Solanum lycopersicum: one gene and its partners. The protein of the gene in region 3 interacts with the protein of the main gene of each other region in a pairwise test. Links are inferred from orthologs where the notes say so. Each region holds a gene or a part of one and is shown on either strand. Other genes may lie near its edges.

The links.
Region 1: the proteins of TCP20 (region 3) and transcription factor KUA1 interact in binary tests that used the Arabidopsis thaliana proteins (3 or more experiments, as listed by UniProt). The link is inferred for Solanum lycopersicum from reciprocal best matches to the Arabidopsis thaliana genes TCP9 and AT5G47390.
Region 2: the proteins of TCP20 (region 3) and transcription factor bHLH47 interact in binary tests that used the Arabidopsis thaliana proteins (3 or more experiments, as listed by UniProt). The link is inferred for Solanum lycopersicum from reciprocal best matches to the Arabidopsis thaliana genes TCP9 and PYE.
Region 4: the proteins of TCP20 (region 3) and heat stress transcription factor B-3 interact in binary tests that used the Arabidopsis thaliana proteins (3 or more experiments, as listed by UniProt). The link is inferred for Solanum lycopersicum from reciprocal best matches to the Arabidopsis thaliana genes TCP9 and HSFB3.
Region 5: the proteins of TCP20 (region 3) and zinc finger CCCH domain-containing protein 6 interact in binary tests that used the Arabidopsis thaliana proteins (3 or more experiments, as listed by UniProt). The link is inferred for Solanum lycopersicum from reciprocal best matches to the Arabidopsis thaliana genes TCP9 and AT1G19860.
Region 6: the proteins of TCP20 (region 3) and transcription factor HEC3 interact in binary tests that used the Arabidopsis thaliana proteins (3 or more experiments, as listed by UniProt). The link is inferred for Solanum lycopersicum from reciprocal best matches to the Arabidopsis thaliana genes TCP9 and HEC3.

The regions. Positions count from the first base shown.
Region 1 is NC_090807.1:64,303,963-64,309,730, forward strand, and holds the start of transcription factor KUA1, read left to right. Parts: upstream 1-2,035; 5' UTR 2,036-5,768. UniProt on the Arabidopsis thaliana protein: Transcriptional repressor. Direct regulator of the transcription of peroxidase (Prxs) and reactive oxygen species (ROS)-related genes via the recognition of 5'-ATCACA-3' motif.
Region 2 is NC_090802.1:62,691,447-62,697,160, reverse strand, and holds the start of transcription factor bHLH47, read right to left. Parts: upstream 3,529-5,714; 5' UTR 3,280-3,528; intron 3,127-3,279; exon of another isoform or gene 3,053-3,126; intron 2,749-3,052; 5' UTR 2,702-2,748; coding exon 2,634-2,701; intron 1,121-2,633; coding exon 1,002-1,120; intron 875-1,001; coding exon 747-874; intron 352-746; coding exon 1-351. Other genes in the region: uncharacterized protein, read right to left, coding at 4,299-4,406, 5,276-5,353.
Region 3 is NC_090807.1:65,637,245-65,642,156, reverse strand, and holds TCP20 (TCP transcription factor 20), read right to left. Parts: upstream 2,519-4,912; 5' UTR 2,451-2,518; coding exon 1,338-2,450; 3' UTR 1,108-1,337; downstream 1-1,107.
Region 4 is NC_090803.1:7,238,824-7,244,348, reverse strand, and holds heat stress transcription factor B-3, read left to right. Parts: upstream 1-1,624; 5' UTR 1,625-2,105; coding exon 2,106-2,366; intron 2,367-4,590; coding exon 4,591-5,043; 3' UTR 5,044-5,236; downstream 5,237-5,525. UniProt on the Arabidopsis thaliana protein: Transcriptional regulator that specifically binds DNA sequence 5'-AGAAnnTTCT-3' known as heat shock promoter elements (HSE).
Region 5 is NC_090811.1:66,583,861-66,588,575, forward strand, and holds the end of zinc finger CCCH domain-containing protein 6, read left to right. Parts: intron 1-1,650; coding exon 1,651-1,775; intron 1,776-2,052; coding exon 2,053-3,121; 3' UTR 3,122-3,301; downstream 3,302-4,715.
Region 6 is NC_090810.1:1,210,260-1,214,663, reverse strand, and holds transcription factor HEC3, read right to left. Parts: upstream 2,047-4,404; 5' UTR 1,913-2,046; coding exon 1,061-1,912; 3' UTR 950-1,060; downstream 1-949. UniProt on the Arabidopsis thaliana protein: Required for the female reproductive tract development and fertility.

The DNA of each region.
Region 1 (5,768 bases), about 1.3 Mb from region 3:
GTTAGTTCTTAGAACTTCAAGAGCCATTCTTTTCGAATGTTTAATCTATAATAATTAGTATTATAATTTTATGATAAAATAGAATAATTATGACAAATAATATAATTTATATGACATTTCATCCGCTAGGACTCGCAATAAGTATTCGTATGAACAAATTGAAATATATTTTTTTTAAAAAATTTAATATGATAATTATATTTATAACAAAATACAGAATAAAACATTTTTATTCATAAAATCTTTCACTTTAAAATAATTTAGAATCTCATGTGCAATTTGCTCATAATTTTGTGGGTGTGAATGAGAGAGACATGAAGGTGCGTCCCCACCTCTATGCTTGAGTTGGATTAAAAATACAGAATATATCATCAAATATTTTTTTAATTTTTTTGTCAAAATTAATATTATATATAAAATGAGAGAGAACCTAAATTTGTACGGCAAAAGCACCTAATGATGGGTTAAATCAAATTTTTTTGTTGTCTAATCATCTACTAATTGTTGTTACCCTAGTATGGTTTTATTTCTTACTTAAGCAATGTTAAATGTTCTCGATGAATAAAGAATATTCCTATCTTGTGTTATAAAATGGTTCCCACTAATTTTTATTCATTTCTTGTGGAAAACTATACCATTTTAAAAATTACCCTAGCCCAAAGAATGGTATCATTCACAAAGTGATTGTAATTTATGAAAGTAAAGTTTAGATCGAAATAAGTTGTGATTTAAATTATAAAATAGATATATTGTTATTCGAGATTAGAAGTTCAGGCGAATTTAGATGGTTAGTTATTGATTAATGTAAACTTAATAGTTATTGTAGATGACTCTAAAAAAGTTGATAGCACTTTGAGTGATCTTTTAATTATTGATAATTTTTAATTTTTATAATATTTAATTAGCTAAAATTTGTTTTTTATTTATTTGAAATATATAGTTTTGATTTTTTTTTGTAAAAATTTAAAATTTTCTAAAATACTTATCGCTTAACTATTTAATTACACATGCATTGTGTTAATTTTGTGTTGTTACGTATGCATATGAGTGCGATGTGCTTCTAAAGACAAATTTATATGTTACATTCTGGTTCCTACATAAAAAGGGATCAAAATTGCAACATTTCAAATAGTTAAAGAAAAATCATTTAATTAAATATCAAAGTAATTAAAATTTAATAATGATTGAGGGGGGCTAAAAAATAATTATTTTTATCAATTAATATTTATTTGTAAATTTACTTTATTATGATAATTCATATTTGATATAAAATTTTTATGAAACTTCGAATTTTGAATTTGGAAAGATATTTCCTCTTCTATAGTGTATACTCATAAAACTTTTATTCTTTGAATACTAACCAAACGTAATTTAGGAAGAGGAAAAGATAGCCCCAAAACGACATGATAATCTTTTTTTTCATTTTTATATTAAAGTGTACTTTCTTCGTTTATTTTTATTTGTTGTGTTACGTTTTTACGAAAGTCAATTTGATAAATTTTCAAAGTTAAATTAGATTATATTAATTTGATATTTTAAATAAAAAATTATATATTAAAAATTATAAATTATAATTTTTTGCATATCAATGATCAAAAAATATATTTTTAAATGTTAATTAAAATTCTTATAATTTAACTCTAAAAATAAAAAAATATGACGAATAATAGTAAACGGAGAGAGTTTTGAACCACATGAATATCTTTTCTTTATGAAATTAGAACTTTATATTTCTTTGTCCCTTCCTCTGAAAATAAAAAATATGACGAATAATAATAAACGAAGAGAAATTTCAAACCACATAAATATCTTTTCTTTAAGAAATTAGAACTTTATATTTCTTTATCCCTTCCTTTTTAGTCTTTTTATTTTATACCATACAAAAGCATACCGCAATTATAGTTACGTGCCTAATTATCTGACTGAACCTAAATGATAAAACATAGAATCTTTAATTCCGCTAGAAAAAAGATTTCCATTAAAACATTCCATTTTTTTTGGAGTCTTATATGGATAAGTCAAAATAATTTTTTTTTTTTTTACTTTTTTTAATGATGAATTCTGAGCACCGACAATGCATAAATTTATCTTTTTTAATATCATTAGGTAAGAATTTACTTTATTTATTAATGATAAAGAGACTTCACTTTTCATGTTATCCTTGATAACTATGGTGGGTAATTTTGAAAATGAAATATTTTCGATGAAAACGTAATAATTTTTTACATAATTAATATAGGCATGAATTATCTCTTTATTGGTTCGGTGAATTAACTTGTGATCACTTATTCATTTGATAAAATGTCAAAATACTTATATACTTATTTTTTTAAAAAAGGTTTTCGCATTTTTTTGATAGACCAAGAGTATTTATTTATTTATTTTCAAAAAAATCATATTATTTGAAAGAAATGAGGAGTTTGGCTTGCTATCGGGAGAAAATAAATATTAATAGGGAGTAATTGAAATTGTTTTTTTCAAAAGATTAAAATAATATTTTTTTCTCCAAAACTATTATTGAGAAAAACACACTTAAAAACACCTTAATATAGGTTTGGCCAAATATATAATTAAAGAACATAAATGTTTTTTTAAATTACATGGATAAAATACAAATCACTTCTAAAAGAAATTACTTTTTTTACAAAAACATTTTTTAAATATATTAAATTTTAAAAGTTTAACCAAGACATTAGTAATAAAATCAATTAATCCTCACTTAATTATTACTTATCCATATGTTATACTTTTCCTTTTTCCATTCGTATTTTCATTAAACTCCGATCATTCAGAAATTGTGCCGTGTAGGTCCCTATCAAGAGGAACATTCTCTACTAAAGTTTTTTACATTTAAAATTTTAATTCGAAATTTCTAATTAAAAAAAAAATAATTTCATTTACTATCTAAGCTTATTGAGCTAGTACTCCACACTATTGATATTTCATATCCAACACACTCTTTACATTAAATATTTTCAATTGATTAAAGATTAAAAAATATATTTCGTCATCTAACATGTTCTTGAATTAATTGAGTAGCAAGTAATTTTCAACTGTCAATGTCTTAAAAAAGCAATTAAATTATTCAAAACCCTATTAAAAATCACGTGATTCACTATATTGTTGGAAGTACCAACAACCAAATTATTTATTTTTGGTTTCAATCACTCAAAACAAATCAGAATTGTCCCTCTATTATTGAGGGACATCCTTGTTCTTCTCTCATTATTATTACTATTATTATTATTATTATTATTATTATTATTGTATTATTTAATATACATGCACAATAAATTCCACATCTCATTAATTACATAAAGAGTTAGATAAGGATATATTTTATTTTATTTTTGTCTTTTAGCCTAAGTAGTAAAAGCAAACAAAGTTTCCTTTGGACTAAAGTCTCTTAACGTAATTTCCAAAAACTTTGGTTGTCATTACTTTGATCAATTCTTCTCCATCTACTACGTAGTATACTTTTAAGACGTGTTTGACCTACTAGTATTCTAAATGTCTTTGACATAAATGTTTAAAAAATATATATATAAAAAAATTAAGAGAATGTTTTGTAATGAAAGAGAATATTTTTCAATTTATCATGTTTTTAACAATAAACTCCAATGAAAATAAATTACATACGTGATATTTTATACTGAGTGTTTCATGTCATCATTTTGAGGATCTGTTTAAATTGATCTATTTTAAATGATTTAAGTTAAAATAGCTTGTTATAATATTTGAAAACTTTTGGAAAGTGTTATTAAATACTTATTTTTAAATTTTAAATAATAGACGTAAGTTATTAAATATAAATTAAATCTTACTTATAAGTCGTAAAATATAAATCTAGTAAAAAAAAATAAAATTCTAACTCTCCACCCACCTAGCCTAGACTATGGTCAAAATAATATTATTCTACTTATTTTCAAAATGTAAAAAATAAGTACTTAATTATTTGTTTTCGAGGTTGAAAAATGTTTTCTTCATTTCATATCAAACAAACCTCAAAACACTAAAATATTCCACACGTTTTTGCAATATTAGTCTTGTGGATTACTAATTAGGGTAGTAAATATTAATATTAAAATTTGACTTGTTTTTCTTGCTAGCTAGGACATGTATTTGTGTTGCGAAAGAAAGAATGTTTCGTTCAAATACGGCACTTATAATATCAAAACTTATAATTATTCGAAGGAAATCAATTTCATAATGATATCTAATTAATTTTTTAAAAAAGAATATTTGTCGGTCTAGCTTTAGAAATTTTGAGGGTACCAAGGTAATTTAGATGCTAGTAAAATTAAGATCGTAAATTCGTAAAATTATTTACTTAAATTTTGTAATGTTTGATTGAGTGGAAATGTGTTTTATATGTAAATCGTATTAAAAAAGGATTTGTGTGATCAATTTAATCAAAAAAATAAAGCTAATACGAAATTTCGAACTTATAAGTTTTTATTTAATATATCAGCTACTCAATCACCCTTACAGATGTGTTGAAAGTATGTTTTGAAATATGTATTGATCAGGAAAATTATCAACGCGTAATAAATTAGAGCCCTTTGAATTAACTTAAAAAATTAGCTTATAAATCAAAAATAAAAAGTCAAACTGAAATAACTTTTGAGTCAAAAATTAAAAAATAGGGAAATACATACTTTTGGTTTCTACTTATTGCAAGTCATTTTATCTTGTCAAAAACTTCGTAACTTATTTTAAGTCATTTTAAACTTATTTTAAATTATTTTTATATTTATCAAATATTTTCAAAAATTAAAAACTGATTAAAAAATAAATTTGATCGACTTTTAAGCCAATCATACGGGCTCTTAACCAAATTACTTCTTTTTTTAATTGGGTAAAATATAGCAATGTAGAATACATTTTAGCAATTCAAGTCAAACACTATAAATAATTTCAAAAAGAAAAAGGTCTCTTTTTTTGGAAAAACATTTGTGCTTTACCATATATAGTTTCCTTTTTTTCAAATGGCTTGACCAATATGTGAAAATGCCTTTTAAAACTAATCATACAATTAATGAATAAACATAATTATTTAAATAATCTTACCAAAAAGATTTGGTTTGTAACCACACATCATTAAAGAATTCCTTAGAATAACTCAATATCCAATTGACCACAAAATCAAATCATATATCATATGTTTGAATAAGTAAAAAGTTTAATTACTTGAAAAAACTTGATAGAAGACTTTATTTAGACATATAATGAAAATAACTTAATAGAAGACATTATTTAGAACTATAATAAAATAAAAACAACCTAATAGTAAATAACTTAATAGAAGATTTTTTTAATAATGAAAATAACTTAATAGAAGACTTTATTTAGAAATATAATAAAATAAAAACAACTTAATAGAAGACTTTATTTAGAAAAAGAATAAAAATAACTGTATAGAAGACTTTATTTAGAAGTATGATAAAAATAAATCAAAATGACTAGATTTGTTTGTTTTTTTTTTAATAAAAAAAAGGGTAGATTTTTCACAAACATGTGTCTCCACTAGATGGAATATAAATTAATAAACTACATTATCTAAATCTACAAAAATATATAATTCCTATATTACCCAAAAATGAAGCCACCTACCCTCACATAATTACCAAATTGCCACCTTATCTCTACCTTAAACCTAAATTTATATTTTTTGTTCCTCATTTTATATTGTCCTGTCCTTCCTCCTTTCTCTCTCTTTGTAAGCATTTTCTTTTTCTTCCTCAAAAATTTCAACTTTCTCTCACTAT
Region 2 (5,714 bases), on a different chromosome or scaffold from region 3:
TGGCCATACATCATTTGGAGTGGGGTATCTAGGCTGTGGTTTCTTCACAGTAGATGAGGGCATAGCCATGGGATCTGCAGCATCAGGCGCTGGATAAGCCTGAGGATTAGAACTCAAGGGAAAGACGTACACGGGGTTCATCATCTGTGACTGTTGAAATCCGTGCTCCGAAGCAGGCAATCTCATATAGTTAGTTTGTGAGGCAAACTCTGTGTGATGAATTTCAGGAGGAGCTAGATTTAGGTCAAGACTAGTCTCAGCTTCCCTTGCTTTGACCTCATTCTGCAGTTTGCTAATTTCAGCCTCCAGAACTGTATTTTCATCCTCAAGCTCCTTTTTCTCCACGCTAAGCTGTCAATAAGACAGCAGAATTAGAAAAGAATAACAGCAGAATATATGTGAAGCTGTAATGTATAGACCACAACTGAGTGGATCCTACATCCTAGATGAGGAATGAAGGGCAAATCAATCATTCATGAAAAAATGAATCCCACTGTCTTATTTTTTGGTAATCCTTCTTGAGTTACTGGAGAGCTCACATTAGATAATTAGAAGGCCAACTCATGGGGAGTGCAACTCTTCTCAGTTTGGGCCTCATACTTATCCTATTTAGTGTATATACCATGTCCGTATAGTGGCACAATGTTCTATGTGAATCCAGGTTCAAACTTCGAAGGACATAAAAAAGAGAAGAAATGGGCAGCATCTCCAAGCTGCGCAAAATTCCCAGAAATTAGGACACTTACATATTGAGATTCAGACAGCAAAGTCGTATTTTCTGTCCTCATATGCTTGATCTGAGAAAGCATGTCCTTTACAAATCGAGCAGCTTCACTCAATACAGAGGCTTTTCCATTCATCTGCTCAGATAGTTCTGCACCAGTAAGGCACCCACGTCTAATAAATTAGCCAATCTCTTTACAGAAAATTACACTAAGGGGACCACTTCCGCAATTTGTCAGAGGTGAACATGGGTAAGTTATAATCAATCAAGAAATTACCAAGAGCATCAGCCAAACCAAGAAAAAGCTCATTTAAATGCTCTCTCTTCATTTTCTCTCTCTCAGCTTTGTGAATTCTTTTTGGAACTTTCTTCTGAATCTTCTTCCTGAGATGAGAGCTGTAACAAGAGAGCTTTACAATCAGTACTTGTGTAGATATGCCACTGATAATGATGCAGAGAGCAGGCAAAACAAAGTCAACATAAATACATGAACTGAGTACACAAATTATTACTGTATTTATCCTGAGATTGGGAGCTTTAATGAGGATTCAAAGATGCAAGAATAGAGTTTTGAAGAGGCAGAAATACATTCTCTAAATTTTGTGAGGACCTTTTGCAAGTTAGTCAGTTAGAAACTGATCCTGTTGCTAAGTTAAGACTTGCAGAAAGGGCTAAATTATTGCTGAAAATCGTAGATTTTGGAAATAAGAAGCGACAATTCCTTGGCATCATAAAATTAAGCCTCTAAAGCTACTATGTGAACTGCAAACTAGCATATAGTACCTTCCAACTTATGGCGAGACAGTCTACAAATGAACAAAGTATGGTTCTGGGTTTTTTATAATGTGTCAAACTTGTGAAAAAAATTGTTGCTGCAAAGCTGGTATCATCAACCACATAAAGATCCCTACTGAGCTGATCAGTATGCCAGCTAACTCACATGAAATTTCTATAGTATCAAAAGTAAAAAGGATCCCCACCCAATCCAGAATAATTTTTTCGCGTCCATGGATACATAAATCTGTTCACTATCTATACAAGGGTCAATGCCCTTGCAAATGTAACAAAACCAGACGCTAAGCTTTGAATAAGAAGCAATTTTGGCATCAAACTTGCATGAAAATAACATCCCCATGAAGTTGACAAGCTTAAATGGGGATACCAAAAAGATGGAATTTATACAATCAAGGCAGGGTACCAACAAATATGCTCTAGAATTCCCATGGTAGACAACTGGTCTTGGGAACTTATTTGGAGGACCAAGCTGCCAACTAAGGTTGTTTGTTTTACTTGGACAGCTTTATATGAGGCATCTTACCCAAGACCATCTATAGAGAAGGAAAATACAGCTCCCACACAGATGCTATATGTGCAAAAAAGAGGCTGAAACCACCCGACATCTTCTTCATTGTGAGGTGGCCTCAAAAATATGGAACATGTTTTTTGTCTCTTTGGTCTTAATTGGCCACACCATTCTCAGTTAAGGATGCTCATGAGAACTGCCTATGGAGAGTTGACAAAGTCATCAAGAAGATCTGGATTTTGATACTACTTGTATTTTTTGGTGTATTTGGTTAGAGAGGAATAGGAGATATTTTGATAGGTAGTCAACTTCGAATCTTCAAGGCAAAGTGTATTGCCAATTTGTAATGGTCCAATTTGTTAATGCAGAACAACTTAAGGACTTAATTAACTCATTAATATAGTCAATCAGGGATTTTTGGTAAGCTCAAATACCACGTCTTGTAATTCTTGCATCTTCTTGACGCCTCTTAATAATACCACACTTGATTTATAAAAAATCACATTATAAGTTCAACAACAAAGATGTCACAGGCTTATTGCAGATTCCCATACTTGATGGGAAAAAACCAATATGACATTCAGGCTACAAAATTTGAGAACTGACCTATCCAATGATGTCTCCGCATCTGTAGTATCCTTTTCAACTATTGGAGCAGGATTTTCTGTATCCATCTCTTATTCGAGTCCACGGTGTAGCCTTTGATGAGAAAAACTATTGTCTGTCCAAGGGAAAAAAAGGTGCAAGTAAGGATTGTCCAAAAGTTTGTCAAATGATGAACAATCAAGCTAAGTTCATTTGAAGTAACAAATTTTCAGCATTAACACGGTATACTTAGCCGATTTCTCATTACTTCACCATCTATTTCCTATGCTATGCTATTAAACAGCGGAACTCCTAAATTGAGGTAAGTAAAATTCAAGCGAACTAAGCAGAAACACTCTTTGTTTCGGAAGACTGGGTAGTAAATAACAGCATTTGATCCCCATTTTTCTATAATCAACTATTTATTGATAAGAAAAAACCTTTAGTTCCCAATTCTTCACCAAAGCAAGAACAAAAAATTCGTAAAAGAAGCCCCATGACTTCTGCTCTCTGCCTACGCAAAAATAAAAAAAACCTAATAAAATTTTGTTAAAAGCGCAACCCCAAAAGAAATCATTTCAAGCACATCAGAAATAGGGCTTAAAGATAAGAAAGATTGAAAGGATAAGAGCAATAAATGTGAAACAGATAGAAAGAAAAATTATACCTGAAACGGGATGGTGAGAGGAGAGTCGGATTAGGGGAAGAAGGAAGAAAGATTGTATGTTTTTTAATAAGTTGTGGGTGGGGAGGGGCGTGTGGCGAGCAGCTGGTGGTGGGAAGAATCAAGTGGGGAACGCATGAGATGCGTGCCACGCCAGCTTTGTTTTTTTGTCAAATAGCAAAGCCCTACACGTTTATGCTTGCAATTTCCACTCGCTCCCATCTCATGTCATCTTTATTGACCTTTCACACACGCCACTCCTCTCACTTGCTACAATCCACATAAATTATTAAATCTTTATCCTCCAATTTTTATTTTTAATTTATCCTTCATTTTATTTAGGACAAAAGGTCTAATTTTTACCCACGAACTTTACAAAAAGAATTCGTTAATAGTTAGGCTTCACATATTCTAATGTTAAACCCATACATATACATAATATTCAATTCCTAAATCATTTACAACATATAACATTATGGCCATCGAGATAGGACTAAGATATTGACCAAAGAAAATGGTATGATGAAGGCGTAAAAGAGATCGTATGATTTGGGGTTGATTCTTATGGTTCTTTTTGCGAGTGTAGTTGGTGGCAAATCTGTGGTGTACTGGTGTAGTAATAGTAGTCTTTAGGTGGCATCTCCGAGTGTAAAGAGTTACAAAGATCAACTTAGAGAAAAGCATATGTCATTAGTCAATAAGATAAAATTCAGCTCATTTTTATAATAGTAGGTATAGATTTGACACCAACTTTACTTCTACACCAAAGACTTGACACATTAGAAAATGTTAACCACATACTTTTAACAAACTTATAGTATAAATTTAAAATATCATGCAGAAAATGTTCGAATAGCAAACTATACATTGTAATATCCCAACTTTTAGCGCTCCTTTGTATATATAGTGGAAGTGAATATTTCTGCACATCAGAATTCGTATGATCCCCATCGATACGTTAATGTCTTTGCCATACAGGAGCAAGTGGTGAAAGGTTCAATACTCCATTCTCATAGATTGATTCACACTTTCGAACAGCCAAGCTGGAACTTGCGGACTTTCATTCTCCCATCCAACGCAAGAGCTAATATGTCATATTCCTCAACGTACCAAAGCTCACCGACAATTGCCTGCAACATTTGAAAAAATGTAATGAAGATCAAAAAGACATCAACAAAACAAGACTGTTTTTTAAAGAATTTGAGCAATACAGTAGGGTCCAACTAGGCATCTTATAATGACATGGTACATCTTCCAATGAGAGATATAGCTTCTCAAGCTAGCGTGACAGCATGGGTAACCTTTCAAACATGAGTGATTTCTGCTATAAAAAAGGAAACCTGACTTTACTAGGTAATTTCTATAACTTGGATGAGGTCCAAGTTTTAGCATCTTTCCCAATCCCAGGAACAGTTCTATGGTATGAACGACCCACAACAAATTCCTATGCTCTAGAACTCTAGAAGCTCTGCATACCACTGTCTGATTAGAGTAAATACTATTTGCAGGATGTTCAGATCATATGTTTCACATTTACTCACAATCAGCTACAATCCATGTTACAAGGTCATCTAATCCCAAGCTTCATCAAGGTTTACAAAGAACGTTCCAACTGTTTTACACTCGAACTGTTCACCTCCATCACTTCCCCAAAAATGCTCTAAGGAGCTGTGTTGTCTCTTTTGGAGTTTTTTTAGGTAAAATAAAGGAGAGTAAATTGGCTTCTCTGTGAAAGTGGGGAGACAACAACACCACACACACTCAAAATTGGCATCAAGTCTTGCAAAATGGCATCCCATTTTGACATTTAAGCTTCAAAATGTATCCTTCTTTTAAAACACATGTTGAAGTGTATGAAAGTCCCTCATAAATCATAATCCTTCCAAACGCAGAATCATGAGTTCCAGATATGGCCAACACGAGCACATCATACGGGGGAGGGGGTCAATGCATTCACTATTAGACGATGAGGGTTAATTTAGATGAAACCAAAAATTACCTTAGTGCCATGGATTTTGTTGTTTAATCTACTCACGAGCTCATAGAGAAATTGGAGTACTGAAACTTTATTTGCTTCCTGTGCAAGATAAAGGAAAGTTGAAAGAACAAGAAATACATTCAATTAACCAAGTGACTATTTTTTGGGATGAATAGTAAGGGAAAGAAGAGCTCTGGTTGAAATGATGTCTAGTCTTATTGTAGTTTATTTGGAGCCGGCGCCCAGACTGTGAGGACGATTTTCCAACAAATTGTTCCAGTCTCTTTGATTGAATCACCCTCACTCATGTTTTAGACGAGCTTTTAAGATTTCAAATGAACTTCATTCAAACAAGCATTATTTATCTTTACCTTATTTGAAGTTCAAGTTGATAGAATTGATTTTTCTTCCCGCATTTAAAAGAAAATGTTCTTCCCTCTCAATAGAAAGATGCCCTACA
Region 3 (4,912 bases):
TAAATAAGTGTTCACTTTTTTCATTAGTATATATAAGTATTCGATAATTACACTATATTATATCAACTTGGGGTGATTAGGTAAGAAATGTACCACTTAGTTAAGAAAAAAAAAACACAGCCTGTTTCCCATCTACATTATACTTTTTAGAAGAATATTCTTCTCAAAAGTCTTTATTCTATCACGAAAATTGATCTGGAATCATCAAAGATTATAGTATAATGATAAAAAAAATCAGACGTCTTAAGCTCAAGTTTTGATAATGAAACTACTTTTTAATAAGAAACGTTTTACCTTTCAATGCGAGCCTTCTCAACTCAAATTTAGATTAGTCGAATATCGAATATCAGATGAAAAAATCGACTATCGGGAAGCTTCTATTTTTGACCCACTAGACAAGGTGGGCCGTGGGCCACACCACGACCACCAATGGAAGTATACCACTCTACGCAAACCCAAAACTGATCCATCAAAAAGCCCAAACGGGTCCCCACTCTTCTCAAAGTCCTAATCCACTTTCACACGTGCGATACTCACGTGCACGTCTTCAACACTTTCTTTTTTTTTTTTTTAATTTTAAACACTAATCACTTCACTTAAAAAATGTCTTTTCAGAAACTCACTTTATAATTTTTCTCATTTCCCAAAAACAGATCATGGTCAAAAGTTTGTCTAGTAAGATTATTAATTAAGTTTGTTTGTGCTGCCAGTTGGCAGATAGAAATTTTTAGATAAATATTACGAGGGCAAAGATAGTATGGAAGAGTTGGATGAACACTAATAGAGCAAACAAATATATCTTCACTTCGAGAAAACTTATTTTTTCTATTTTGACCGTCCACGAAAGAAAGTAATATTTTGTGAAAATTGTTTATAAGTATGGGTGAGAAATAAAAGACCAAATATTTGATGCCTAGTAAGTGCAAGAATGACACTTATGTGACATATAATGTAGTGAAGCACTAAGTAGGTTAGGTTAATTGGAAGTAATTTGATTTCCACTTCAATGAATTCTAACTTTAGGGCTTGAAAGACATGACAATTAAAATAATGCAAATCTTTAATACACAGTTAACTAAATTATAATAAAGCTGAAGGATGATAATGTTTCCTTTGACAATTATACAATGATTTATTTGTAATTTTTCTAAGAGAGTTACACATCATTCAACTTCTAATTAACATTAGTTTAACAAAAGCAAAAGAAACAAAATAAAAAGTGAATAGCTAGTGTCCTCTAGTAGTTTGTACATACAAGAGTATCATGAGCATATTTGGCCTAAACTCTGCCTCTATATTTATATTGATTCTCAATAAATTATGACGATCACTTGAATCTATGAACGTTCTGAAGATGTAACTTGAGTTTCTTGTTGATGATTTCCACTTCGACTCATAAGCTGTAACTCTTTTCTATCATAAATCTCAAGTGAAAAATCTCTTAGCATATGAGGTTTAACATCATTTGTATTGTTGTTATTTTTATCTGTGCTAGAGCTTAAACTAGCTGGAGCCATGCTAGACTTGTTCGATCCAATTTTAGGCCCCGTGGTTGTGGCTGCTCCATTATTCACTGATAACGGTCCTGCAATCATTATTGCTGGCGGACCGTTAGTATTAATCGTGGCTGCAGTCACGAATGATGGTATTGGCCTCGTGGCCAAATTAAATACAGGTGTCCATAATTGAGGATACTGGAGCACGACGTTATTGTTATTGGTCACGTTTACTTGAGCTGGTGGGACCGTAGCTGGTATCATCCAAATGGCATTGGATGGTACCATCATACCACCATTACTCATACCCCATACCGGTACGAATCCCGGCGGTGGAGCGGTGGTTATTGTTGCCGGCGTGGTTGTTACCGGAGCAAATTGTGAAACATTTGCAGCATTTCTATTCAAACTTCCGACATCAATGAACTCTGAGTTTGATGATTTCCTTCTACGTTTCTGTGGATGGTTCTCGTCGATTTCTGGATTACTCGCCGGGGAACTCGTCGGAATCTTAAGAGTACCGTTAACAGAAACTGCTATCGCCGGTACAGTTCCGGTTCCGGTAGCTTCAATTATAGATTGCTCCGCCTGTTCAAGCAACCACCGAACAGTTTCTCCGTCGGACTTATGACCTAGTTCTCGGGTCAATTGGAAGATCCGAGCTGCACATGTAGCAGGTATTCGGATCCTCCGTCCACGTCCTTCTACTTTTGTGTGGCGGTCCTTGGTAGAGGACCTCCGCGGAGGGGCGGCGGTAGCTACCGGCATAGGCATTGATGGAACCAAAGTATGATGATCGGAATCAAACGGTTCTTCTTTCATAGCGGAAAACACGAGTTTTTTGTCATCGGCAACTGCATGACCGTCCATTTTCTGGTCATTTAGATCTCCGGCAGCGCCGTTACTGAGCTCGGAGGTGCCACAATCATCATCTGGGTCATGAAAACTGGACATATTTTTAATTTTTTTTTTCGGAAAAGAAGAAGAAAAAAAAAGGTGTGAGTAGTGGGAAATGGGAGTATGAATCAGACGGTGGAAGTTGAAGAGGTATATAAGGGAAGAGTGAGTGGGATGATGACACGTGTAGGGGTAAGAAAAGTGTGACTTTTTCTGAGTGGACCATACTGACTGCCACAAATGGTCCTACAATTGGTGTAAGAGAAAAAATGGATCTAAAATGTGGCCCTCTCTCCCTTCACTACAATAAGGTCCCCACCATAATAAGGGGAGCTCTACTTTAGGGAGAGGGGTGGGTGGGTTATAGGTATACTCTTTCTTTCTTTTTTTTTCTTTTTTTTGGGGTGGGTTGGGGGGTTAAGTAGGGAAGATACTTTTAAATTTAATGTGAATTATTAATATCATTTTTAAAAATGTTTTTTTTTAACTAAACAAACTTAAATATAATCCTAATTGAAATACACTTCTAAATTTTTATCAAGTTTATGATTGTTTTCAACACTTAACTTGACTTTTTATTAAGAATATCATGCTCTTATAAGAGTTTGAAGTCACTTGGTATGTTGTATGACAGATTGGAGATGAGTCGATGGTGTATTTAAATTTAGTTAGTCAAGTAGATGAGTGTTTTTAAGGTTGTTAATAGTTTAAGAACGCAACTAATAATTTACCTCTAGTTTAGAGGTATTTTATATATTTCTTTCTTATTTCTTCATTCGATGTCCGGTATCCATTTTTTAGAGGTAGTTTCTATACTTCTTTCTTTTTTCTTCATTCGATGTCTGGTATTTATATTTATTTCTTTTTTCTTCATTTGGTGTCCGTTCTTTTTCTTCATTTGATATCTAGTTTCCAGCTCGACTAAATTTGAATTCATCTTGAAAAGTCTCACATTGAGGGATAAAACACTACCTAACAAAGGTGACTCTGTAACCAAGGATACTTGAATCTAAGCCCTTTGGTTAAAGATGAAAAAGTACTTATTATATCACTACAATAAAGTATAATAATATCAAAAAAAAATTATGAGTATTATATTATGCGTTTAATTAGGAAAATTATTTCATCATATGTATTATAATGATTGAATAAGTTATCTCAAATAACATGGTGAGATAACTAATCTTATGGAATATCACAATACATGAGATAACTGTATCTATTTGATATCCTATGCCAAACAACTTCTAAGTGCTAATAATATTTTCGATTAATCAGTTTTTTAATTTTATTTTGAATTTTTAAAAATGATAAATATTTTGAAATAACTATTTAATGGAAAAAATAAAATATTTTGAGACTGATAAAATAGTAGGTTTCAAAACCTATATCACCTATGATATGGTAAATTTGTGGCTCGCAAATTGCTTAGATTGAGTATTTTTTTAATTTTCTTCCATTATCATCTTCTATTCATATTATTTACTTATCTTTTAAAAAATCACAATTTTAAATAGATACTACTTGATATTTTTAAGAAAAGCTTAATAAATAGTTAATTTTTTAAATTTGTTATGATATTTTAGTTAGACATCCAAATTATAAATATTCTAACTGAATATCTCAACTTCTTAAAATATTCTAAGGATACATTTTCGTCTATTAAATAGTTAAATTAAATAAAATAAAACATGTCATTTAGGTATCTAACATTGGACTGATTATAGAATTTCTAAAAAAAAAGTTCTTTTAATAGGAATACAAGATAGGGAAAAGAGTAGAAAAATTTATGAACTCATTATGTCAATATATATGATTTACAACTCCTTTTGATACTCTCATAATGTCCATTTATGACCTCATTTATTGATTTTGGAAGTTTAATGACCTCATTTTTCAAACAAGTTTTCATTTTATTTTAATATCAATGAACAGAGTTATGAGTTATTTGATATTTATTACTGATGAAAAATGATAAATATTTTGATAATTAACCTCAGTATACAAAACCTGATCCAAACATCACGTTCATATAAAAAAGTTAAAAGAAAAACATGACCTCGAGAGGCTAATCATAGAAGTACCACTAGATAGAGAGTGAGTAACTACTTCATTGGATGTTTTGGGGGAGAAAATTAATCTTCAAATTTTCCCTTCCTTTTAATGTATTTTTTTTAAAAAAAAATTATCCTTGTTTATTTTATCGATTACAATGATGTGAATCAAATTTATTGTATTCTATACTAATTTTTTTTTAGATATTTTAAAATTATACGAAAAGTACAACTAATTATAATTTTTTACATATTAATATGATGAAAAAATATATCGTAAAATATTAGTCAAAATTCTTATTGTTTTGGCTTTAAAAAAATAAACTATGACAACTAAAAAGAAATTGAATGAGTATTTGTTTTCATGCTTCCAAAATCTGCATAATGTTGTCTCAAACATATATTTGATAATTTTATACATGTAAAAAATGTGAATGTACTCTTGATAATAGTCAAAATAATTTT
Region 4 (5,525 bases), on a different chromosome or scaffold from region 3:
TATTTTCTCCTAGCAAATCTAGAGTGATAGTTACTCAAATGGACTTCTTCTTTTGATTTGGTTTTGGTTTAATAACAATAGATTTCTTTTATCATCACAAAAATATTTAGTAAATAATTAAATTAATGTCATTATATTTAGAGTCATTCAAATTACTAACAATATTTATATAAAGTACAACAACTACTATTATACACAGTAAAATTTTATAAGTACAATCTTATCACTACTTTTCATAGAAATAAAGAAAATATTTTTCAAAAAATACTTATAAAAAATCTTGATTATTAATTATTGATCTGCTAAATATTTATAGCAATAATTATATTACTGTTAAGTAATTATTACAAAATTCTTTATTTATTTTATATATATATATATATATATATATATATATATATATATATATATATATATATATATATATTAATTAATTACTACCAATCAACACATGTATCAGATAATTGAACAGTACATGAATGAAACATAATATATTTTACTTCTACTACAGCACCAAATTTGAAACATTCTATTCCTAACTTTTTGAGAATTTTTTTGAGTCTTAAAAATAATAATCTCAACCCAAGTGGGACCAAATTTTGAATAATTTTGTAAGTAACTACTTGTAGTTGTTTCCACATTAAATATATATTGAATAAGTAACATTTTTATGCTCACACGTTTGTATAGTCAAAAAAATACACGTAGCAATGAGGTATTTTACACAAAGAATGCAATAGAATGATATAGTATCCAAATTATATTCAAACAAAGAATTCAAGTCAAACAACTAAATAATTACACAATAATTTAGATAATATACAATGATATATTTATAATGCCTAAATAACTAACTTGACTCTATCAATAATGAGATTACTTTATTTTAGAGGCTACCGTAAATTTTAACTTGTTATTAAAAGTTTATTGTTATATATTAACTTTTAACATGATTGATTTTGGAGATAAAATTAACTATAATTAAAGGAAGGGATTTATTTGAATTCATATGAAAATTATGCCGTATAAATAAGGTAGAAGTAGTACTTTTCATTTGTTCGTTTTAAAAACTTAAGCAAAAACATATATAATAACATATACCGTGCAACAAATAAAATATAAATTTAATAATATAACTCTTACATCGTAAAAATAGAAATAATACTATTAATTTTTCTAAAAATTCTCTATAGTCAAGTGCTTCAAATTGAAATATTTACAAAAAAGTGAAACAATAAAAAAGAATATGTCAATTAATAAGAAAAGTAGTACATAGATTCAAAAGAACAATAACAACAAGAAAATAATATAGTTATTAAAATATAATAGACAATAAATAATTAAAAAATATAAAAAGTAAGAAACTACATGTATAAAACTAAATATATATAGCTACAACATACACAATTAATTTTTTTTTTATAATTATCCAAAATATGAAGAAAATATTATAGAAAACAATTTTCACCTTATGGAATCTACGCGACACAAATTCATATTTAAAAAATGAATATATTCACGTCTTATAGATATTTTATAAAGTTAACTAGTTTAATTAGAGATTTTATCTGTCACACCACGATCACACCACGATCACAAATTTTATATATATATATATATATGACTCTCATTCTACTACTACTATATAAGAAGATGTAAGCACAATACCAAAGTTTCATTCTTTTAACACAAAAAAAAAAATTCAAAATAAAGAAAAAAAAAAGTTATCTTTGCATTTCTCATGAACTTCGGTGTCGTGTTAGGTTTCTATTGTTGGGGTTGGGAGTTCTTAACTGCCCTTCTTCTTTTCTCCACTCTTTCTTCTATCTAACTAAATAATTTCAATAATTTCTACAAAAAAAAATAATCAAAAATCCCAAAAAGGGTTGATCATTTTGTGTTTCTCTACTCATTTCACCAATTTTCTTGAAAAAAAAAAATTACAAAAAAAGTTCATTTTTTGTGTGTTTAATTTCTTGTTTTTACCAATTTTCTAGGTTTTCAAAAACTCCAACAACAAAACAAACCAAAAGGGGTTGCTTATTTAGTGTTTCTCTACTCATTTTACCAATTTTTCTTGAAAAAAAAATCTTTCTTTTTTTGTTATGGGGGTATTAGAAGGAGGTCAAGTAAGTGATGAAAAGAGTTTGTTAGAGTATGTTGTGATGAAAAAGTCATCACCATCACCATTTTTATTGAAAACCTACATGTTGGTGGAAGATCCGGCGACAGACGACCTCGTTTCTTGGAATTCCGATGGATCGGCGTTTGTTGTATGGCAGCCGGCGGAATTTGCAAGGGATTTGTTACCTACACTCTTCAAACATAGCAACTTTTCAAGCTTTGTTCGACAACTTAATACCTATGTAAGTTTTTAATATATTCGTCTTCAAGATTTATATTAGATCAACGAATATAACATTAAGTTTTTCATATATTAATTTTGAATTTACCTCAAATCAATAAATATAATATAAATTTTTAATATATTTATATTAAATATTTATATCAGATTAATAAATATAACAAAACATATAATATTAAAAAAAACAGACTTTTTTGATATTAATATATTTTATATTTATATCAAATCAATAAATATAACATAACATGATTTTCTCCAATGAAAGTTTCTTGGAAATGTGCTTATCGGAAACTATTTCGAGAAAAAAAAAAAATATATATATATATATATATATAGTTGCCGACAAAAATATCCATTGAAAAAACGTGTTGCTAATAAAACAAACACGTGTTGAATTAATTTTTTATGTTTGTCCAAAAATTATTCCCTACTAAAAAGAAATCCTTTAAGAAAATAAATCGTTTTCTCATTTTAATTTGTGATTTATTAAAAATTAATTTTATTTTATTTAGTTTTTTTTTTTCAAAAAGATTGAATTTGTTTTCCCACTGTCATCAAAATAAGTTATTTTTTATTAAATACATAGAAAATAAATTATTAATCTATATATATGTGATATTGAAAAAGTATTTAACTAGCTAGAGAATGTAATAATAATCACATGTAGTTTGAGGAGTTTGATTCTTTTGATTATATAATTAAAGTTAATTGTTGGTATCTTAGAGCGTTTGGTACGAACGAAAATATTTTCTCGAAAATGTTTTTCAATTTACTCATGTTCGGTTGGGATAAAAGTTTTGAAAAATGTTTTTCAAATCAATTTATTTTTTCTTAAAATTAGAAAATGACTTTCCTTAAAAAATTAGAGAAAACATTTTCCAAAACTCTCCTCTAATTTCAAATTACATTTTTTTTGGAAAAAAAATATCAATTTTAAAAAAATATTTTCAATATCAAAATTTTATTTTTTCACTCAATCCTAACCCCACACCACCCACCCACCACTAGGCAGCCCCCCCTCCCGAAAAGATTAATTTTGCTTTTGAATAATATTTTCAACTTTAAATTTTTATTTTTAAACTCCTACCCCCTCTCGCCATCCCCTCCCCCCCAATTTTTTTTAAAAAATATTATCAAGTTTAAATTTTTATTTTTTCACTCTTGCCCCCTATGCCCCCCTCCACCCCAAAAAAATAATTTTGTTTTTAAAAAGTATTTTGAATTTCAGAAATTATTTTCTACTCTAGTAAAAATAAAAGATGTTTCTTAAAAATATTTTTCATTCATAAATCAAACACTAAAAATTATTTTCGAAAAATATTTTCTACTCACCAACCAAACATGAGAAAATCAGTCAAAAATCTACTTGTTTTCCAGGAAAACATATTTTAGGAAAATATTTTACATGAAAAACATTTTCCTTCGTACCAAACGCAGCCTTAAAGTAAAAAGGATTTAAAGAACACAACTTAATTCTTGTTACTCCCTATGTCTCAATTATATGAGATCTTTTAAGCTTTGAAAGTCAATCAGTTTAAGTTTAATCGGAAATTTGAGTATATAATTTTTAATTTTTTTGAAATGAAATTTATATATTTGTAAACTACGTAAAAAGTACTACACAAATCACAATAATTGATAATTCAAAATGTTTAAAGGATCTATGAAAAATTTACCTTTAAAGATATATTTGTTTAACTCTTGAAATCCGAAAAATGACGTATAAAATGAGCCTCAGAGAATATTTTTAATACAAATTAAGATTACCAAGGATTTTTTGTGGGCTCAACTAATAGAATTACATATCATGATTATGGAGTAAACATAAAAATAATGATTATATTATTGACATCAATCATACTAGCTAAGAGCTTAGGTTAATAATTATGATTATTATAGGTTATCAAGACAAGATGCATGTATTGCTAGTTGTCAAAAGTAGTCACAAAATAGTTAATCACTTTGGATTAAGTTTGTCTTATTTGTATACTTTTCAATTAACATGCGTAATAATAGTGTTTTCACTAATTAAGTGGAAAGGTTAGTGGAGATTAAAAAAGTGCACTATTTTTCATGGATTAATTAAGAAGCTTCTCTTCTTTTTTTTTTGAGATAATTATTGTTTAAGTTTGAGATGATTTTTTTTTTTTTGGATGGAATGTTTATTTTTCATATGATTGTTTTGAAATTTATTCTAATCATCCATTTTGCATAAATAACATTAGGGTTTTCGTAAAATTACAACAAGTCAATGGGAGTTCAGTAATGATAAGTTTAAAAAGGGCGAAAAGAATTTACTCCGTGAAATTCGCCGAAGAAAAGCATGGACAAATAGGCAACAACCAAACAACAAGAAAGACAATATTATAGAAGAAGATCAAAGATCATCATCATCAACTTCATCATCATCTGAGTATATAAATCTTGTCGACGAAAATAAAAGGTTGAAAATGGAAAATGGAGTCCTTAGCTCTGAGCTTTTACTCATGAAAAACAAGTGCAAAGAATTAATGAATATTGTTACAATATTTGCTAAAAATCCAGAGAAAGAAGAAGATGAAAAAAAACCAATGTTATTTGGAGTAAGATTAGAAGTTAAAGAAGAAATGGAGAAGAAGAGAAAAAGAGTTGAACTTAATGAAATGGCTAGTGTTTTTCTCTCTCAATTATGCAAATAAAGTAGAAATTTAGAGAGAAAAAATCTATATGTAATAGTTGTACTATGCTATTTTGTATTATTTCATCCAAAAATTAATGGTCTTAATTAGCATGTAGTGACTACTAATTAAGTGGAGATATATACCTAAGTTGTATAAATTATGCAAGTTTTATTTTCACGTGAAATGTTAATAAATCATTTGCTTTTCTAAACTATGCATTCCAAGTTAATTTGCTTAAATATTGCAAAGAGTGATCAAAGCTTTAATATGTATGAAAAGTAATACTTGATTTATATATACAATATAATTTTTCGATGAAGAGTGTTCAAATATAATTACCTTAGCTAGCTATAGCTTCGTCTTTGATATTAATATTTTGTATTTTGATATATTCTCTCCGCTTATTTTTACTTGTTCATTATACTAAAAGTTGATGTCCACTTTTATTTGTTCAATTTGAAAAATTAAGAAATGATTAATTATTACATATCTAATCTATT
Region 5 (4,715 bases), on a different chromosome or scaffold from region 3:
GCCATCTGGGGATGTATGCGGCAACAGAGGATTTGAGGTCATCTGCATTTCTTTTAATATTATTCAAGTTATAAGAGAAACAAAAACATCTATCAAAGTTGAGAGATTTAGAGAAGTATAATACTAGTATATATGTAAAATCATGCAATATTCTTAATGATTATTTGATAATAAGAAATTCAAATAATTAGGATGGTTTCCTCAATCTAATTCATGTAGTTAAAATTTCTTTTCTTGTGTAGTTGACATTTGTTTTTATGTCACCTACTGTTAATTAAATCTTTTATGAAGGAGCTTCTTATATGATGTAACCTACTCAATTGAATAAAACTTTCTCTTCTTCTTTTCTCCTTTTACTACTTTATGAGAAACACTTGATGTGTGCTGTCAAGCAGTGTGCAATTCCGTCAGTCCCAATTTGTAGGTGCCAGTTGACACATAGCTAAATATGCAAAAATTGACTAAGTTAACTTCCTATTGAATATGCAACAGAACCTGCAGCTCCTGGAAAAGCATCTCATTAAAGGAAAAATGCAATATTATTATTAGGCTTTTAAACTTTTTTTTCAAGGTTTCAGTTCTTAACAGGGAAAAAAAGCCAACTAAATTGGGATTCAGGGAGTAATATATAGAAGGGGATGAAAATAGGGAAATGTATCTCTCACCCAAGGATCCACCAAAATACAAATAGATGAGTTTCCACCTGTTGAGCCATTTGAAATAAATGAGTTAATACTTCGATACAGATTCCCATATACAACTTGGATAACTTTTCTCCAGATAAGTATGCTCAACTTGGATAAGGTTAGATTTTTCCCCTTATTTATGATATTGAGGATTCATACACTCGGCCCAACCCGAACTAGCTCGGTATTGCGGTGTAATTCTACTCACTTTGAGTAAGGCTATGAATTGATTTAGCAAATAATACCGTTTAAACCTTTAGAAATTTTTCTTGGTGTAACTTTCCCAGGAAGGAAATGCATTTCAAACCCACATATATCCACATTCCTCCTTATACCTGCTAAACATTTCCCAATATCATTGGTTTTCTCTTATTGGTTCCTTTTCAAACAAAATCAAATGATAACCTCTTGTTCCTGAAAGCATTCTCTTTGAATCCAATCAAAGGTCTCATAGAGAGATGCTGAGGAGAGAAGCACATTTGTAGTTACTCCATCCTTCTAGAAATTTTTGTCGAGAGGAACGGACAAAAAGTGGCAGAGCAAAACAAAAAAGATTCCATATTACATCTGAGATTGTTTACTTGATTGTAACTATATGGAGATATTGGAGATATATGTTGAGTTAGGACCTGCTGGGTCCCTAAACTATGTTGATTTACAAGAGGTGCAGAAATTGAAATGAACAATTGATAGGCTACTGGCGTTGGATGTTCATGTGCCAATTTAAAGTTGAGTTGATAATTTCACTTAAACAGTACTGGTTTGGGTGTGTGTCCTGGGGGGAGGAGCTACTTATACATGCTCTGTAAGATTTTGAGGCATGCGTTCTTTATTTTGAGCATTCTGGCATTTTATTTCCTCTCTTTCTGTAATTTTATTCTCTTTTTTCCTTCTCACATATTTGCACACATGAAGTCATAGCATCACTGTACTAGTTGCTAACACTTCCCTTGATTTTTGACAGTTTGTGTTGGATACAAGTTGGCGAGTCGTTGCTGGTGAAGAAAGCAATGACATGGAGGTTCAGAAACAACGGGAGATGAGAGTTCTCGAAGCAATTTATCCACGTGAATCTTCCATTCCTCCAAAGTATGATTCTTCATTCTTGTAGGATTCTTTTTTCTTTCTAGCCTGTTCTGGTAATGCATTGTTGTGATGAGAGTCTAAACAGCCTCTCTACCTCACAAAGGTAGGGGTAAGGTCTGCGTACATCCTACCCTCCCCATACCCACTTGTGGGATTACGCTGATTATGTTGTTTGTTGGTTTGTTCCTTCTAAAAGCATTTTTTAAAAATTCCTTTTCCATTGATCTTGTTTTAGTTCTAGATGTTACTTCTTTTAAATTGTTCTTTTTTCCCCACGCAGTCCTTCTATGGGTCCTGGAGATGAAACCCTTCATAATGATCAGCACACACCAGTTGTACCCTTAACACCTGTTGAAGAGGAGGAGGTAGCAGATCCTTCATTTGGCACTGCTGTACCTACTAATGGTGCCAGCTCAACGGCCCAGGTAATGCAGTCAGGAGTTCCCTTGGGCAATAGAAGTGCCGGAAATAGCCTTCCAGTCCATGGAATCTCATCACCGGGAGGTGTTCCTGGCTTGGGGCTTGATGCTGTAGCAGAAGCTCAGGCAGCTTTAACTGCATTCATGGCAGACAGTGGCCAGGGAAATCTGATTGATCGCGATCTGCTTATAAAAATTTTGAGTGACCCGAAAATTGTTGGGCAACTGGTTACACACCAAGGAGTAGGCACCAGCTCCCATAGCGTGCCAGCTATGAATACCCAAAGCATATCTGCTGCTAATCTCATGCCCAACGCAAGGCCACAGGCATCAAGTATTGCTGCTCCATCTCAACCTGTAGTTAGTCGAGCCAATCCATCTTTCTATCACTCAGGTAGGACAGATCCTCCTCCAGTTCAAGTCAGTAGAACAGAACTAGTTATCCCCTCGATGGCAGGTGCTACAAACGGCCCCTTCCACTCTGCTCCAAGTAGAATAGGACCCGTTTCCGGTTTGAGGCCTCGTATACCCGAGGCCATGTCAGCTCCTTTACCAGCTCCAGTAGCAACTATGTCAACACCTACTTCCTCTATGCCAGCACCTGTAGCTAGGGACATCAACTATTACAAGTCTCTCATTCAGCAGCATGGAGGAGAAAGGCAAGAAACATTACCACCACAATATAACAACCACCGAAACAACCAACAGTTAGGTTCAGTTCAAGAATCACAAAATAGCTACAATTCAAGAGATTCAAAACCTAAGATAATGAAGCCTTGCATCTATTATAATAGTTCACGAGGATGCCGGCATGGCGCCAACTGTGCGTATTTGCATGATGCATCTCCCCAACAGAGGGGGGTGGGTAGCTTGCCAGAGGTCCAAAGTTCAAAGAGAATGAAAATGGATAGGGAGATTACTGGTACATAATAATGCAGCTTGGCTCTTCTCTGTACATTAAAATTTTTTCTCAAGGGAGGAATTGCTTGTTTGCAACTTGGCCATTTTTGCCCCCTTTTTTTCCTCCATTCCCCTACAATGAGTCAACTTCATTAAATATTTTACTTATGGTTCTAAATTTCAATTACAATACAACTTTCTTCTCTGCTACTTTTTTTTCTTTTATTATGATGCTTGCATGATGTCCAATACCTTTTATGAAGTTATTTTGCCTAGTTATATGCTTTAGTGTTGATGGTAGTTGTACCTATAAGGAAGTGTATATAAACTTGACTAGCAAGGGTCCGGATTAGTGTCTGTGGGTACGAAATGGTCTTTGTTAGCGTTTTAAAAGAACCCTTTCAAGTGTGGGACTTTTCAAAGTTGGGCTCCAATGCGGGTACTGAACACTAAAAGGAAAAAAAAACTTGATACGTCTTTCTTGAGGTGAGGGTCTTTTGGAAACAACCTTAGTCTTTGTTAGAGAGTGTTTTAAAAGAATCCTTTAAGTGTGGGACTTTTCAGAGTTGGGCTCCAATGCGAGTACCAAACATTGAATGAGAAACTAAAACGAAAAAAAAACCTTGATATGCTTTACTTGAGGTGAAGGTATTTTGGAAACAGCTTATAAGGTAGGAGTAAGGTTCGTGTACACAACACCTTCCTCATATTGCACTTGTGGGTTTAGATTGAGTTTGTTGATATTGTATATGGTTCTGGGAGTTTAATATGATTTAGTAGGTCAATAGCGTAAACAGTTTTTTACACTTGCTAACGTATCGAATAGTTCTGTGAGTTTAACAATGATATAGTAGGTCAATAGAGTAATATTTTTTTACACTTGCTAGCGTATCTAACAGTATTAGAAACAAATGTGGTTCTCACCACGGATCAGTAGGAAACTTATGAAAAGAATGTGATTTTCTCGCTCATTTCTCACCAAATCAGCTCACAAGGAAAAACAATGATCGAAAATATATTAGAGAAGTGGAAAATTTTGTAAGTTTTCTATCTGAAACAATTACTAATTCTTTGTTTTTTTATTTCAACATGTTAACTTAAAGTCAATAAATTTTAAGTTCGGGGTATATTTGACTTTTCAAGCATTATGTTATACGTGTCTTTCATCCTATAACTAAATGGACACGTACGATCTTCTACATCTTTCTAGAATAGTAACAATTGTTCTCTTATCACAGAGCACAAATGTAAAAAGCTCACAAAGGAAATAAGAGTAAAGTCGAAAGTCGAAAGTAGAAAGTGTAAAAAGTTTTTTTTTTCCTTTTACGGATTGAAGATAACTTACATTGATGGTTTATTTGTATGTGTGTGATGTCAAAAGTTGAGTCTTTAGGACTACGCACTTCAGTTTTTCATAAAAGAGAGAAAATTATACATGTTAAGATGTTGTATCGATATTTTCCACTCTTAGATTGTAATGACATCTTTTTTTTTATAGGATATTGATATTGAAATGACATAAAAGTAAAGTTTCTTCGTTGGGATGTAATTATGATTCTAAAGAAATAAAAGAACTATGTTGCGAAGCTTGAAATATGTTTGTATAGCCTCTTTTATTAGTTTT
Region 6 (4,404 bases), on a different chromosome or scaffold from region 3:
AAAGAAAAGAAAAGAATTTTTTTAAAGGGAAAATTAAAGGAGAAAACACCTCAATTGAATCATCATGATCAGTATATGTAGTTTTTTTTTTTTTTTTTTTTTAGTTTTTTCTATATCAATTATATACATATTTCCCTATTAAATTTTTTTTACTTCACCCTTTTCCTCATATGAAAATGCATACTTATAAAACTTCCAAATTTCAAATGCTCTAAATTTAAATCACAAACTCAACTGAAAAATCAACAAATGGAAGCAAAGAAGACCCCCAATAATATATATAAGTAAAAAAAATGAATTAAATCACACTATCAATTTATTCAAAAGATATCTACAAGTAATTTTCCATAAAAACGAGATTTGAAATCTTTCATAAAATATAATTTTCTTTACACTTTTGGTGTGTAATATATAAATTAAACTCAATATACATATACATAATACAAATTGTACAAACATGCGCACACGAGCACAAACAAGTGCGTGAGATTATACCAGCAAGAGTAGTTGTGGAGTAGTAAGTACTCCTTTATCTTTAATCAGAGGTCTCGAGTTCAAGTCCTTCTGAATACAGAGTCACCTTTATTAGGAAACACTAAATCCTAATATGAAATTTTCCAACGCTAATCTAAATTTAACCAGACCCCCAGATACCAAATTGAAAATCGAAAAAATAAATAAATGTGTGTGAGGTGGGCCAAAGAGTATAATCATATTCAATTTCTTCTCACGTCACTGTTTTATTCCCGGGAGAGAATTCAGCCAAACGAACTTTTTGATGATCAGAAAAAATAAATAGATAAAAACCATATTCTATAATTATTAATATACTAGTATATACCAACATACGTAACTCAACTCTAACCGTTGTGATGATTATCATGCCCTTTAAGTCAACACAATCCTAACAAACCTATTTTTTTTAGTTCACAATTCACATGATCCACTATACACAAATAATTAATTATTCCTCTATATATAATATTTTTATTCTTAAAAATTCCAATTACTACACAATAATAATAATAATAATAATAATAATAATAATAATATGACCTAACTAATTACCAATTACCTCATAAGGTGGATCCAATGTAGTGTTACCAACAAAAGTTGTAACATTATTGGTTGTAGTACTACTAGAGGAGCCAAGAATCAGACCTTTTGTACTTGGTGTGACAATATTATTTGCCCAATTTTCATTATTAGGGCATGACGATACTGGTATCTGTGCTGGTGGGAGGTTATGATTCGATGATTGTAATTGACGGATTTGTCTTTTTAAGAACTTAACATAGCGAATTGCTTCGTCTAACATGGATGCAGTGTCCATTTTTGTTCCACCAGGGACTAATCTTTGCAAGATTCTGATTTTTTCACTTATCCTTTCGCGGCGTAGCCTGGCTGCTACGCTTTGTGGATCATTGCTTATACGTACGTTACGCCTTTTAGGTTTTCGTATAGTGGATGGATCAATGTCTACTGGTTGCATAGATGCAATTTTGAACATCATTTCTTTCATGGCTCCTAGCTCTTCTTCTTCCTCTTCATCTTCGTCTTGATCATCGTGTTCTTGATCCTCTATTAGGGTTTGAACATGGTTGTTTAACACATGATCAAAAGGGACAACTACTACTTCTTCTTGTTGTTGTTGTTGTTGTTGGGTTGAGGAGGAGGGAAGGTGATGGTGTTGAGGGTTTTGAAGAGGAAAACTAGGCCAAATAGGGTTATGTTCGAAATGAAATTGTTGTTGATGATGATGATGTTCGTGGTAGATATGGTCGTTTGGTATACTGGACAAGCATGGTTGTTGTTGTTGTTGTTGATCGCGAAAGACTTGTTGGTTGTCCATATTGGACATGGTTGGATCCCAAGTGGAGGTAGTGAGTTTATTAATGTGGTTGATATCCATGGTAAGAAGAGTATAAAGGGTGAATATATCAAGAAAGAAGAAGAAGAAGAATATCTATTGTGTTTTTTTTGTGTCATTATGAAAATATTTTTCTCATATTTATTGAAACCCTTTAACCAAAAATTGTAATTAAAAAGAAAAAGAAAAAAAAGAGGGGTGCAAAAAGGGAGGTGACTTATTGCAAAGTTGAATCAAAGCTCATGAATATGTACTTTGTGTGAAGCCTTTGAAGGCTAAATAGTACATCTTCGTAGGGTAGTGAAAAGGTGTAAGTTATATACATTATGACATACACAATTCGTACATATATATTTACATGTATATATGTCAATATATAGAGGGACAAATGGAAGAAGGGGGTGGGGGTGTTACAAACTTTATTGAGTCTCTAATAAAAGTAAAATGCGGAGCCGAGATTTAGAATTTGTTAAGTTGAGATTGTAGTAATCATTTTTAAGTTACTAGTCTAACAACAACAACAACATGCTCAGTCGTTTGAGTTGTTGATCTAACAACAACTATTATAAAATTGTAAAAATAAATATATGATATGAATCAAAGTATCGTAAACTATACTCCAGCTCCGAGCTAAAATAATAATTATTGTGGGAGGGGGACCACAAGATCAAGTTATTTTCAAAAATAAATAGATAAACAAAAAGAAGTTTCTATTTTTGTGAGGGTTGTGGGTTGGGGGGGAGTGTGTTTCAAAGGCCATAAATGTCCTACTTTTGCTATATTGGTATACAAGTGCATTTAGTAGAGACTTGTTGCCTTTGCTTCATCCCTAGAATTTATCTATTTGTTTTGCTTAATTTGCTAGCCATCAAAATCAATTGATAAATTCTTCATGACTTGGGTGTGATCTAGAGGTTAATACCGCATGAAAATATTAGAAAATAATTTCAGATTTTTATTGATTTTTATAGGATTCCTATTGAATTGAGACTCGTGTCATTATATAGGAAGTATTCAGATTTGTATTTATCATTTTTTTCTGGAAAGATTTATTATTCTTTGTTGTTCCTAATTGTTAAATTATGATTTCATTCTTTTGTATGATTATTTCAAATCATTATAATTATACTTATATGCAATATACTATATAGTCACACAATTATTTTCTATTAGTTTGTGATATTTGTGAGTTGGTGAAATCATGAGATAGAATACACGTAGATTTTTGTTAATTTTATGTAGATACTTCTCAAATGAGAATCGTTCCATTTTTGTATTTACATCTATGACGATCTATCATATTAATCTTCAATGTCAATTCTATATATATATTATCCCTACTAATATGTTATGCTATAATATTTATTCTCATTGATTACTACATCAAATCTCTTTAATTATAAACTCATATACATTATCATATAGTCACATAAATATATACAATTTTTCTATATGCGAATCATTCATCATGCGAACATTTCCCTCAAATTAACATTGGTGGATCTAGAATCATCAATTTGCCTACTAGAAACTGATAATGTGTTGACCCGTGAATTTTACAAGTACAACAACTATTTGAAGATCTTCGAAAATGTGCGAAAGAGCAATAAATATTTTATCTATAGTTTTTCTTATATAATGACAATCTACTTAGTAGTAATCTGAATAACAATTGTACTTCATAAAGCCAAAAAAACTTAGAGCTAGTGATATTAGGCATATATTTATACATTTTTTGGTCAAATATTTTTCATGTTGATTCATCTTTTCACTTATTTCTATTTTCTACCATATGTTTTGCTCTTTTAATTGCTGAATAATAAAAGTGATAAAAAGTAGAAAGAAAAGGAGACACAAAACATGACTAAACATAAGTAGAACAGAAAAATTGATTCTAAAAATAAGACAACATTTCTAGAAACACAAAAAAATATTAGCATATGAATAGATCGTAAAAAATTGATCAAAATAGAAAGTTGATCTCAATATAAGTAAAAGATATTCTCAATGAAAAATACCTCATATTTTAATTATTTTTTTTAAAAATACACTTATGTGAATCGACTATATTCATTTATAAATATCTCAAAGTACTTGAATATTCTTGATGTCTATGCTTCAATTTTATTAGTTATAAAAACATGAAAATTCTAGAAAAACGAAGAATTAAAATGAAACTTTCAAATTTTAGATTTTTTCGCGATTATCATCTTCGAAACATGATCCTATACAAGATCATCTTTACAAGAAAAAATCACATCACAATTGTTATCTATCAATTCTCCAACTAGCTATAATATCATAATCTAGCAATCTCAAAATTGAAAACATTGACACAATCATTTATTATACTATTTCAGGAATAGATACATGTCGATATTATTTCAGGAATAGATACATGTCGATATGTTATCGATAATAAAATTATTTATCCTAACTTAAAAAGCATTGATCTTACTATTTTCATAGTTGGTGAAGGGGATAATATTGTTATTGTTGTATGTAGATGGCATAATTACGTGTAGATATTCAAA